Linked DNA regions of Drosophila melanogaster. The protein of the gene in region 3 interacts with the protein of the main gene of each other region in a pairwise test. Each region holds a gene or a part of one and is shown on either strand. Other genes may lie near its edges.

Region 1 (3,757 bases), on a different chromosome or scaffold from region 3:
TGGTATGATTTCTTAGCTTCCCGTATGACAAACATTTATGTTTTTTTCCGGTGCACTCGTTCATTGTTTTCCTGACAGCAGTTCGTCTTTTCGCTGAGAGAAAGAAAGAGTTGCACGTGCTTGGGGGACAAGCCCACAAGTTTATGAGGCGGAAAGTTTGTTTCCCCGTGCTGTGTCTGTGTATTGGTTGAAGATCGGTTCCAGACGAGGGAGTATAGTCATTGGTCCCCAAGAAAAGCCATCACGAACGAATTGGTGGCCCCGAAACGGGAGCATTTGGGTCTATAACATTGAGTTACGACTTCGGTGGATGGATGGGGCAGCCATGGAGGAACTGAAAGTGGGGCACTCTTATCTGGATCTCGGGGCGTGGGAGGCAAAGGGCAGCCTGTTTACATAAGATCACTCATTCAGGGAGCTGGGAGTCCACTCCCGCCCGGGTTGATTAAGTAGATGCTTTTGCTGGGGAATGGGATTCGAATGGGGTTTCGGTTTCGGTTTTGTTTTTTGTATTTTGTATTTTTTTTTTGGCTTTTGTTGCCGAGGGAGTTTGCGACATTTGCCGGCCGTTTCGTTTAGAGATGCTGCGCAAAATCTCTGCGAGGTGGTGGCTTTTTGGCAGCGAGAGGGTGGACTTCTCGTCCTGCAAAGGATGGCAGGACTCGTTCCCAGTGTTGTTAAGAGTACAAGCTTTTGTACCTGGCACAGGCTTTTGAAAAACACAAGTACCTACTATAGTAGTATTTGAGCAATGAACATATTATAGATTTATGGTAAGTGAAGCATCTTCACGATTTATCTGTTTCATCTATCTAGACAAGGGAAAGGGTACATATGTACACACATATATATCGGTGGCACAGTTTGCCGTAAACACGACCATGGTTACCCAAAAAAAGGTGATGGAAAGCGGAGGGCTAAGGGTTGCAGCACCGCCCACTGGGCGGGTGGTGGACCGAGCCAAAGGACTACGCACCACCAGGTGACGAGGGCGAGATAAAGAGAGAGAGCGCAGGTCAAGAGAGAGAGAGAGAGAGCCGAGAGAGAGAGCCGTGAGAGATTCGAACAGGAGCTAAAAAGGAGCAGCCGAATATTTTGTGTGTACCTACCGGAGACGAAGCGGTTGGACTGGCAACTCCTATATTCCTCCTGGATCTCCTTATCCTGGCACTCCTTATCCGTATCCGTATCCTTATCCGGAAAGTCGGAGTCCGTATTTCTCGGTCTTAACCCTTGGCAATCCTCAGGATTTGGGAGTGGAAGACATGGGATAAGACACTGCTCCTGGAACTCCTGGAACGCACTCTATATCACTTCCACTTTCCACTGGGCTATTGCACTTTACACACACTTAAAACACAACTTTAATTATAATACACCTAGGCGTGAGTGTGTGTGTGTGAGTGGGGCGGGGGTGAGCCTGTGTGTGTGTACATATGCTGCTGCCGCGATTGAAAAACACACAAATCCTGACAAATAAACGCTTTTCCACGCTTCTGATTACCGCACACGTTAACTGCGTTAAGTGGCAAATTGTTTGCACAATTTTGCAGCGCTCTCTTGCGGTTAACTAATTAAATTTTAATGATTTTGCCGGAGCCGTTTCTTTCACGTCGCCCATCCGATTTCGATGTGCGGAAGGCGATAGCGATTGACCACGACCAGGGCTGTCAGGTGGCGTATCAGCGGTTTTTCTTAGCGAACTATCGATAAGCACGTTGCGCGCTGTGCAGCACTTGTCCGGTCATCGGGTCTATCGATATCGGGTGGCGTTTTTGTTATGATTTTGGATTACATGGTTGGTTTAACCCGAAATACCATGCTGAAAACTCGGGGTATTGTGCTTGGCATCAGCAGGTCGTACACCGCCAAGGCGAAGAGGGGTGTGCTGGCGCAGGACAAGTCGAAGATCAAGGAGTACTCACCGAAGACGACGGACAGCCATGAGCACCGAGTTTACGTGTGGGGCTTTCAGGAAACCGGCGCTCTCGGTCTCCAGACCAACGTGAAGAAGGCCAAGGAACGCTACACGGAGATGGTGCACCATCCCACCCGCTTGCAGTTCTCCAACAACAACGAAATCACGGATGTGGCCGCCGGCTACGGGTTCACGGTCTACGCCGTGAATAGAGATGACGGAGAGACGCTCTTTGGCAGCGGTTTGAACACCGACTCCCAACTGGGTTTCCAGGTGAAGGGAAATCCCAATGATCCGGCCAACCTTGACGTGATCATTTATCCTACAGCCATTAAACTGCCGAGAGTTCAGGGAGAAACAGACGAGGACATGCGTGTGAAGAGCATGTCGGCGGGTAGAGCTCACCTGGTGGTTCTGACCCAAAACGGAACCATTTTCACCCTGGGAAACAATTCGTACGGCCAATGTGGCCGCTCCATCATAGAGGAGGAGCGGTACAGCAAGAGTGCCCTGATCCACAGGATATCGCAGGAAGATATATGCGGCAAGGAGGATGAGGTGGTCCAGGTGGAGTGCGGCCAGGACCACAGCATGTTTCTTACCAAAAAGGGACGCATTTACACATGTGGCTGGGGTGCGGATGGTCAAACAGGTCAGGGAAACTACCACACCGCCGGGCAGATAACCCTGATTGGAGGAGATGTGGAAAAGGAGAAGATTGTGCGGCTCAGCTGCTCCTCGGACTGCGTTTTGGCCCTTAACGAGGCGGGCGATGCCTTTGGCTGGGGCAATTCTGAGTACGGACAGCTAGATGACTCAGAGCTGGCCGAAACCCAAATAAATATCCCTAGAGCTCTCAAACTAACGAAGTCCATCGGGAAAATCAAGGATGTGGCTGCGGGAGGCTCATTTTGCATGGCCCTCAACGACCAGGGTCTGGTGTACACCTGGGGCTTTGGCATCCTCGGCTTCGGACCCTTCGTGGAGCAAACATCCAAGCCGCAGCATCTGTTGCCGCCTTTATTCGGACGAAATGACTTCAGCAACGAAACCACAGTGGTTTCCATCGGATGCGGAGTGTTTCACATGGGCGCCGTCAACTCGGACGGAGATCTCTTCATGTGGGGCAAGAACAGGTTCGGGCATCTGGGGCTGGGACACAAGAAGGACCAGTTCTTTCCCTTTAAGGCGGCCATCAACGGAAAGGTCACCAAAGTGGCCTACGGAGTGGATCACACCATTGCCTTGTGCAAGCCGTTCTTCTAGATTAAGCTGTTTGTTTTAGATTAGTTAACTTAAAGTATACTCTAGTCGAAAATACTATTGCCAGTGGCAGCCCAACCAATAAAGATCACACTGCTAAAGATCACAAATTCGCGTTTAATACATGTAAGTAGTTTAAAGAACATTTAGATTAATTTACTTGTTTCTCTTACGCATGCTGATAGTTGCCATGTTTTCCGCCCTCAGGTTGTTTTTGCTGTAAATAGCTTCGTTCTGAATCCGTTCTATACATTAATTGTTAGAATAGAGTTTAAGAGCATATATATAAAATATGTACTTGGAATGCCGCAGTGTGTCTGTGCGCGTGTACCGATCCAATCTCTCCGTATCCTTTCAATCCGCCCTCGAGGCTAATACATTTCACGTATTTGTCACAATTTCGTCGATCGCTTTTGATTGCGTTCTAGGTACATTTTCGTTACGCTTCCTTACTAGGGTCTATAATTTGCTAAACTCGCTTGGCCAATGATGATATATCCACCCGGAGTGGGTGTGTGTCCTGCTAACCAGTGGTAACCAGATCTAGACTTGTAGGCATGGCTCTGTGTATGTATA
Region 2 (3,757 bases), on a different chromosome or scaffold from region 3:
GCCCAAGGAATAGTATGGTAAGTGGTTATCAATATGTTATTACATATAATACATTTAACAATTTTTTGGCTTAAACAATTAAGATATTTCGCATGAGTATGAAGTCATATTTGTAACGCTCCATTGTATATTAGATTAGATTAGATGGGATTAGCTGGAATATGAAAAAAAAAAATAACAAATTTAATGCATTTCAGCGCCGCTTACGATACTATCACCCAGCAAAATGTGGCGATTAAGAAACTATCTCGACCATTCCAAAATGTAACCCATGCCAAGCGAGCATATAGGGAATTCAAGCTAATGAAGCTTGTTAACCATAAAAACGTATGAAACTTGCACCTTTAACTTTAACAAATTTCTACTAAACATAGGTATTTAATCCGTAGATAATTGGCTTACTTAATGCTTTTACGCCGCAAAGGAACTTGGAAGAGTTTCAGGATGTCTACCTGGTCATGGAGCTGATGGACGCTAATCTCTGCCAGGTCATCCAAATGGACTTGGATCACGACAGAATGTCCTATTTGCTTTATCAAATGTTGTGCGGAATAAAACATTTACACTCAGCAGGAATTATTCACAGAGTACGTACAGTATGAATACATCTTTAAAATGAGTATGAAATATATGAAATACTTCATTTGCAGGACTTAAAGCCATCCAATATAGTTGTAAAGGCCGACTGCACTCTAAAAATTTTGGATTTCGGTCTGGCACGTACTGCAGGAACTACCTTTATGATGACTCCCTATGTGGTCACCCGATATTACAGGGCTCCAGAGGTCATTTTGGGCATGGGATACACAGAGAACGTGGACATATGGTCCGTCGGTTGCATTATGGGCGAAATGATACGGGGCGGTGTGCTGTTTCCTGGAACGGATCATATAGATCAGTGGAATAAAATTATTGGTATGTTGCTGCTTAAATAACTTGATTCTCGTTATGATTGTCAACTTTTACGTTTTTTCAGAGCAATTAGGTACACCATCACCCTCGTTTATGCAACGGTTACAGCCAACCGTCCGAAACTATGTGGAAAATCGTCCTAGATACACTGGATACTCATTTGATAGACTTTTCCCCGATGGCTTGTTTCCAAATGATAATAATCAGAATAGCCGCCGGAAGGCTTCTGACGCTAGAAATCTTCTTAGTAAAATGCTAGTCATTGATCCAGAGCAGCGGATATCTGTGGACGAGGCTTTGAAGCATGAATATATCAACGTGTGGTATGATGCTGAGGAAGTGGATGCTGTAAGTGATTCTGGCATAAACTGGATTTCTAGGAATGTTGAATGTTTTTAATCGCTTAATTGCATGCATCTCTTGCAGCCCGCTCCGGAGCCATATGATCACAGCGTGGACGAAAGGGAACACACTGTGGAGCAGTGGAAGGAGCTAATCTATGAGGAAGTCATGGACTACGAAGCACACAATACAAATAATAGAACGCGGTAGAGAACGACTTTTTCCTCCTTAGTCAGTCACAAGAAAACTAAAGCTTACCAACAATACGGCGTGTATTGTTAAATTATTACAACAAATAAAATATTCAAATTGTATTTAAAAATATAGTAACCATTAAAAAATAAAATCAATATGCGAAACTTTGTAATTTCTTACTCATCCTTGTTTTTTGAGCCCGCTTTCTTAAGTTAAATCGTTAAAATACCAGTTTAATCATTTCATTGTCCTGATTTCAGGAGCTAATTACATTTTAATCTTTGTATAAATTCATAAAATTTAAATGGAAAAGTTTAACCATATAAATTATTTCGGTATATAAAGTCGATACATACTTTTAAAATTTTGTTTCATACAAGAATATGGAAAGTAGATAATTTAGTTACCGATAAAAACATTTCTAAAATACAAAAAATTTAAAATGATGATTAAATAAAAAACTGTTATACTAAATTTAAACGAAACAAACGGTCATTCGATAACTCAATTAGTATCGAATAAGCCGGCGTGTAAATCGGGCTGGCAACTCTCACCGGTGTAGAGATCGGGATGGCAACTTCGTACTGTTATTCCTATGCTGCGATAACGATAACAGCAAAGTGTCATCGCGAATAAATGTGGGTTTGATAATAAAGAATTGCGTTGGTGAACAATAATAATACAAATGCTAAATGTATCGCGCGGATAACTAGTAAACACTGATTTCGCGCATATCGGGCATACGGGCAGCTAGACGTCTTAGGTAACACATTTCCCAGCCACATTGGCGTTGAGGTATTATTTCCCATATCCATGTGCGTTTGTAAATGATACCACCAGAGTGTGCCATATGTATCGTTGTTTGTACATACATGCCTACGGGGAAAAATAACTCGCAGATACATATGTATGTAAGATGTATTAGAATTCCACAGATATATGTACATATAAATATATATATATATTTATGATGCTCATCTATAAAACAAAATATGTACAAACATACGCGCGCACGTACTTATGTATGTACATATGTACGTACATATATGTATAATAAAATGAGCATCTAGCTGCGGTTATCTTAATGCAATGCGCAGAAACCTGAAAACGAAATAAACAATCTTTACAGCGCCAGCACAGTGAGCCAATTATGAATTCACAATTCCACATCCAATTCCGATTCCGAATTCCATCGCTTTACATCCTAATTCGAATACGTCGCGCCGCGTAAGCTGCACTCGAATATTGACATAAACGACGTAATTGCGTGTTTTGATTGCGATTTCCGATGCTCGATGTTGACAGACGGCAAGGATTTTTTTTGCCAGCCGACATTGCGAATGCTTTTCGCGTGTTTGCGTTGTGAAAAGCGATTTGTTGTTCCGGCAGTTGGAAATGTTTTGTGCTGTTTATGCTTAGAAAAGCAAATGTATTGCACAAAACTCGTGTTTCCTACATTAGTAAAGCCTATAACTTAGGTATATGTTTCTAAATTACAATGCAAAAAATAAAAAACATTATACATGTGTTCGTTCTTTAATTTGAAAACAGAAAAGTGAAAGCCTTGCAAATCAAATATGTGTCCATATCGCCTACTAATAATATAAACACGTCGCCTTCCAGGAACTAAGATTGGAAATCATGGCATCAATATCGGATGACGGCATGGCGCTGAGTGGCTACCTCAAGAAGCTGAAGACCATGAAGAAGAAGTTCTTTGTGCTGTACGAGGAGACGAGCACTTCGGCAGCCCGGCTGGAGTACTACGATACCGAAAAGAAGTTCCTGCAAAGAGCCGAGCCAAAAAGGGTTATATATCTGAAGAATTGCTTCAACATCAATCGCCGTTTGGACACCAAGCATAGATTTGTCATTGTGCTCTCCTCCAGAGACGGTGGATTCGGCATCGTTCTCGAGAACGAAAATGATTTACGCAAATGGTTGGACAAACTACTAGTTCTACAAAGGAACATAGCCAATTCGAATGGAACAGCGCACTCACCTTATGGTATGCCAAATAAACTATAACTACCAGTTAGTATGAAACCTAAACACTTCATTTCACTTTGCAGACCACGTTTGGCAAGTTGTCATTCAAAAGAAGGGTATTTCGGAGAAAGTTGGAATCACCGGAACCTACCACTGTTGCCTTACTTCAAAATCCCTGACATTCGTGTGCATTGGACCGGAGAAGACGCCCAATGGCGAGGATCGCGTTGCGAGCATTGAAATACTTTTGACCACGATCAGGCGGTTAGTTGTTGCCAGCAAAACTGCAAGGGATTGTAAAATAATTCGGACTTAATTT
Region 3 (3,757 bases):
AATACTTCCCTCTTATCAAACAACTTTTTGGGCTAGAACTGTCTGTAAATTAGTAAAAATAATACCAACACACACACACACACACACACTTATATAATTTTAAATTATAAAACAAAATAGTTGTAAAGCCAATCAACATTAAACAATAAAAAGAAAATCAATTTCAAATTGTAAAATATATCGAAGACATTTCAAATTAATATGGAGCAGTAGTAGAAGAGGAAGAGAACACTCCTGGGCCCCCAACAAGATGGCTTTGGTTCCTGTTTTAGTGACGCATGCAACAGAATCCTCTTCTCTTCATTTGCTTGGATTTATCGATTGATTTTTAATTATAATATTATTAAAGCTATAACTATGTATCATAATTTGTTATTGTTATAAAATTTAAACTGTAAACACACACATGGGCCCAATAGCAGTTTATTCATAGAAGCCAAATCATCCCACAAAACAAACAACCAACCACTTAACAGAGTCAACTACAAGTACATAAATAATTATTTAAACTCTCTCCTAGTAGTTATATATTTAACTAAACGATAGATAAAAGCAACAAACAAATGCAAATCATACAATTGTAAAAAAAAATCAATAAATAAACGAAGGAGAACCGCAACAAGCCGAAACCACTGTATAATTGTACGTTTAATTTTTATAAGAGAAAACACACTTGTTAGGTACTTTTCTTTCTTTCCAAAAACAAACACATGAAAAAAAGAGAAAATAAATATTACAAAAACGAAGGAAACTTTAAAATAAACAAAATAAATTTTTAAAACCGAATGTCTACTGTTTCAATTAAACTGAATATTTAAGTTTTTCAAGCCGAATTTAAATAAGGTGAAGTTTGCCATGGTCACAAGAAGTGTTTTTTGCTAACTTCTTTTTTAACTAAGCAATTTTGAATCATCATTTGAATGTTTTTGGTAAATATTATTTTTTATATTAATTATTTTTAATAAAGTATAAAGACTGTACTGTTTTATGCATCTTTTCAAAGATTTTTTTAAACACCAAGTTGAATTTTAAATATGTGATCCATTCCTTGGATTTTGATCATTTTACCCATGAGTAGTTAGCAGACTTGTCTGCATGTTTTAAAACGCCCGCCAACTGGGAAAGCAGTGCATTTTAATGCGCCCGCCAACTCGGAAAGCAGTAAAACGTAGCACTGCTTGCAATTTACGATATTCAAGTATGGCGCACTATCTTTAAACTTGAAACTTGCGTTTCTAAAAGCCAAACCCCAAAAAGCAGATCCTAGCGAAATATTTAAAATTGGTTTAAATTGGTTTTACAGCAGCTCCTAGTATTTGTAGTTAGTTAGTATTTATCACCTAGGCGGGGAGTTCAAGGAAATGATTATGCTTGATTGCATGGAAAGTAGATGCTCTTGGACAATGATTACATAAAAATATTTCCTATGTCATTAAGAAATCGACACAATAATAGCGCCATTATTTTATTATATTTTCTAAATTTTTCGAAAAAAAAGTGATCCAGAATGTAATATTTGCTAATGACATTATGCTCATATAAAAGTTTTTACAAATGGAATATCCGTTTTTAGTGCGCGAGGATTCAGTATTGGGCTTCATGGCGTGTTGGTAAACGAAGAGCTCTGCTATAGGTGGCGCGCTAGTGTAACAGCCGGCACTAACAGAGTTCTGTAAGCGGTCAAAAGACAGAGTTCGAAAACGACCGAACAGAGTTGGAAAACGCGCTAAACCGAAAATCGCGTATACAACAAGGGTAACGGCTGGCAGTGTTTCACGCGATTTCGAAACGTTGAGATCGTTGCCGCGGTCGCCGTGAATTGGAATTGTGAGTGTGTTCGTCGTGCGGAAAATCATCGCTGTCAAATAGAGGCCACAGTGAATTGCCGATACCTAATACTGTGCAAGGCGAAATTATGTGCCCCAGCATTTCGTGAATGAAAAGTGCGAAAATACAAAATACAGAGCAATAGTGCGAGGTCGGTGGAGTTCGAATTAAAGAAATTCCACGAAATACAAGTGCGGGCGATTCTCGTGTGCTGGCGAGAGTGCGGCTTGTCCGGGTGTGTGAGTAAAATTCACGGTAAATAAATAAATAAAATTTGTGTACACACACATACACACACACACGCGCGCTCTCCTATTATTTATATATACACAGCATGTTGTGAAGTTGCGGCGCAAAAAGAAAGCACGCGAATAAAACATAAGAAAATTTAATTACGCCTGCGTCTGGGAAAGTGCGTCGTTCTATTTTGAAATCGATACCAAAATAAAATACAAATAGAAATAAAAATCAAAAATTAGGTGACACAACAACAACTAGATCAACAATGCACGACAACAAAACCGTTGCAAAGGGGTATGTAACAAAAACAACAAATAATAATAAAATGAATAATAGTAGTGAGAACGTAACTAGGAAAATACTCGTGAAATTACTACGCAGCAGCAATTTATGCCAAGTTGTTTTTGCTCTCCTCCTCCTCCTCTCTCCGCCCGGTTCCTCTTGTTCCTTTTGTTGTTGTTCCATATCTATCATATCTTGGGCTGTTGTTGTTCTTCTTCTTCGCACACCGCTTTACGTCTCCGTTTTGTGAATGAGCGGCGCAGCCAACATTGTTCTCTTTTTCTCTCTCTCTCTGTCTCTCTGTCGTGCGGAGAGCGGCTGCGCGAAGAGAGGCGGAAAAGAAATGAAAGAATTTCGATTGCTGCCGGTTTTTGTTTTATTATTGTTGTTGTTGTTGTGCTGGTTTATTTTTTATTGTTGCACGCATTTTGAAAAGTGGTACAGATAAGTTTTCCATTGCATTAAATTAAGCCAGCACTAAAAGAGTAACTAACATTATTATTAAAAATAGTATTTCATGAAATTACTTAGTACTATTGCTAAAGACTGTCTCCTTATTGTCCTTGGTAAGTTTTAAAATTAATCATACAAGCGTCAATAAGAGCTATTCAATAGAATTTTATTAAATATTTATAGAATTAGTATAAATTATTAAAAAAAACAAAACAATAAACTTCAAAGAAGTGTCTTAGTCGACTTCCATTAAACACCCATACATTTTTCCTTAAAAGGCGCTTTAATATGTATGTTGCTCTCACCCCCTCTTCAGGACCACCTGCAAAACTCAATTTTTTATTTAATATTTCAAAAATAAAATTGAACTCACCTGTTGACTTGTCATGATTTTCAAACCTTTATAATTCTAAAGTTATACTTTGGAAAATGTGTTGTTTTTTAATGTATGGTGGACACCACACTTTCAGCGGTTGTCAAAAAGTCATGACAGTGCTGTTTTTTATTTTATTTTGGAGCTCGTAATTAGAGTGACCAAAATGCTGAGTAAACCAGCCAAATATATCCAGTACAATTTTAAAGCTCTCACTTGCTAAAACAAATCCCAAAAAGTTGATCAAACTATTTGCTCAAACTGTGACCTTATAAATCGGGTTTCTTTTTATCTTTAAGGTATATGTATAAGATATCCATTAAATTTAGTTTAATGGAGACTTTGTAAAAACGTTTGGAGCTTCTACAATGTTTTCATTTTATAAACATTAATTATTTAATGCCAACTTAAGCAGGTTGAGACTTTAATGACTTAAGTTGACATTAAAAGTGGGATATCCCTTTAAAAGAACGAGATAAAGATACACCCACGATTTACGGGCTTTTGATTTTGTGTTGTATCCGCAACGGAAGCAGATCAATAGATCGGGGGTCTGTGGGTGTACTGAAATAGTGATAAATG

Evidence for each region.
Region 1: the proteins of InR (region 3) and dock interact in a two-hybrid assay, tested with the Drosophila melanogaster proteins (2 studies listed by BioGRID).
Region 2: the proteins of InR (region 3) and chico interact in binary tests that used the Drosophila melanogaster proteins (3 or more experiments, as listed by UniProt).

Annotation. Positions count from the first base shown.
Region 1 is NT_033779.5:823,860-827,616, reverse strand, and holds the start of dock (dreadlocks), read right to left. Parts: upstream 1,649-3,757; 5' UTR 1,110-1,648; intron 1-1,109. Other genes in the region: CG3862 (uncharacterized protein), read left to right, coding at 1,820-3,184. UniProt on the Drosophila melanogaster protein: Adapter protein that links cell surface receptor tyrosine phosphorylation to downstream signaling pathways and effectors, many of which are involved in regulation of the actin cytoskeleton.
Region 2 is NT_033779.5:10,245,355-10,249,111, reverse strand, and holds the start of chico (chico), read left to right. Parts: upstream 1-2,033; 5' UTR 2,034-2,212; intron 2,213-2,578; exon of another isoform or gene 2,579-2,927; intron 2,928-3,072; 5' UTR 3,073-3,090; coding exon 3,091-3,457; intron 3,458-3,521; coding exon 3,522-3,702; intron 3,703-3,757. Other genes in the region: bsk (basket), read left to right, coding at 1-17, 198-327, 390-587, 651-915, 977-1,260, 1,339-1,464. UniProt on the Drosophila melanogaster protein: Activates phosphatidylinositol 3-kinase when bound to the regulatory p85 subunit. May mediate the control of various cellular processes by insulin-like peptides.
Region 3 is NT_033777.3:21,617,331-21,621,087, reverse strand, and holds the start of InR (Insulin-like receptor), read left to right. Parts: upstream 1-1,766; 5' UTR 1,767-2,066; exon of another isoform or gene 2,067-2,361; intron 2,362-3,757. UniProt on the Drosophila melanogaster protein: Has a ligand-stimulated tyrosine-protein kinase activity. Binds 3 insulin-like peptide ligands.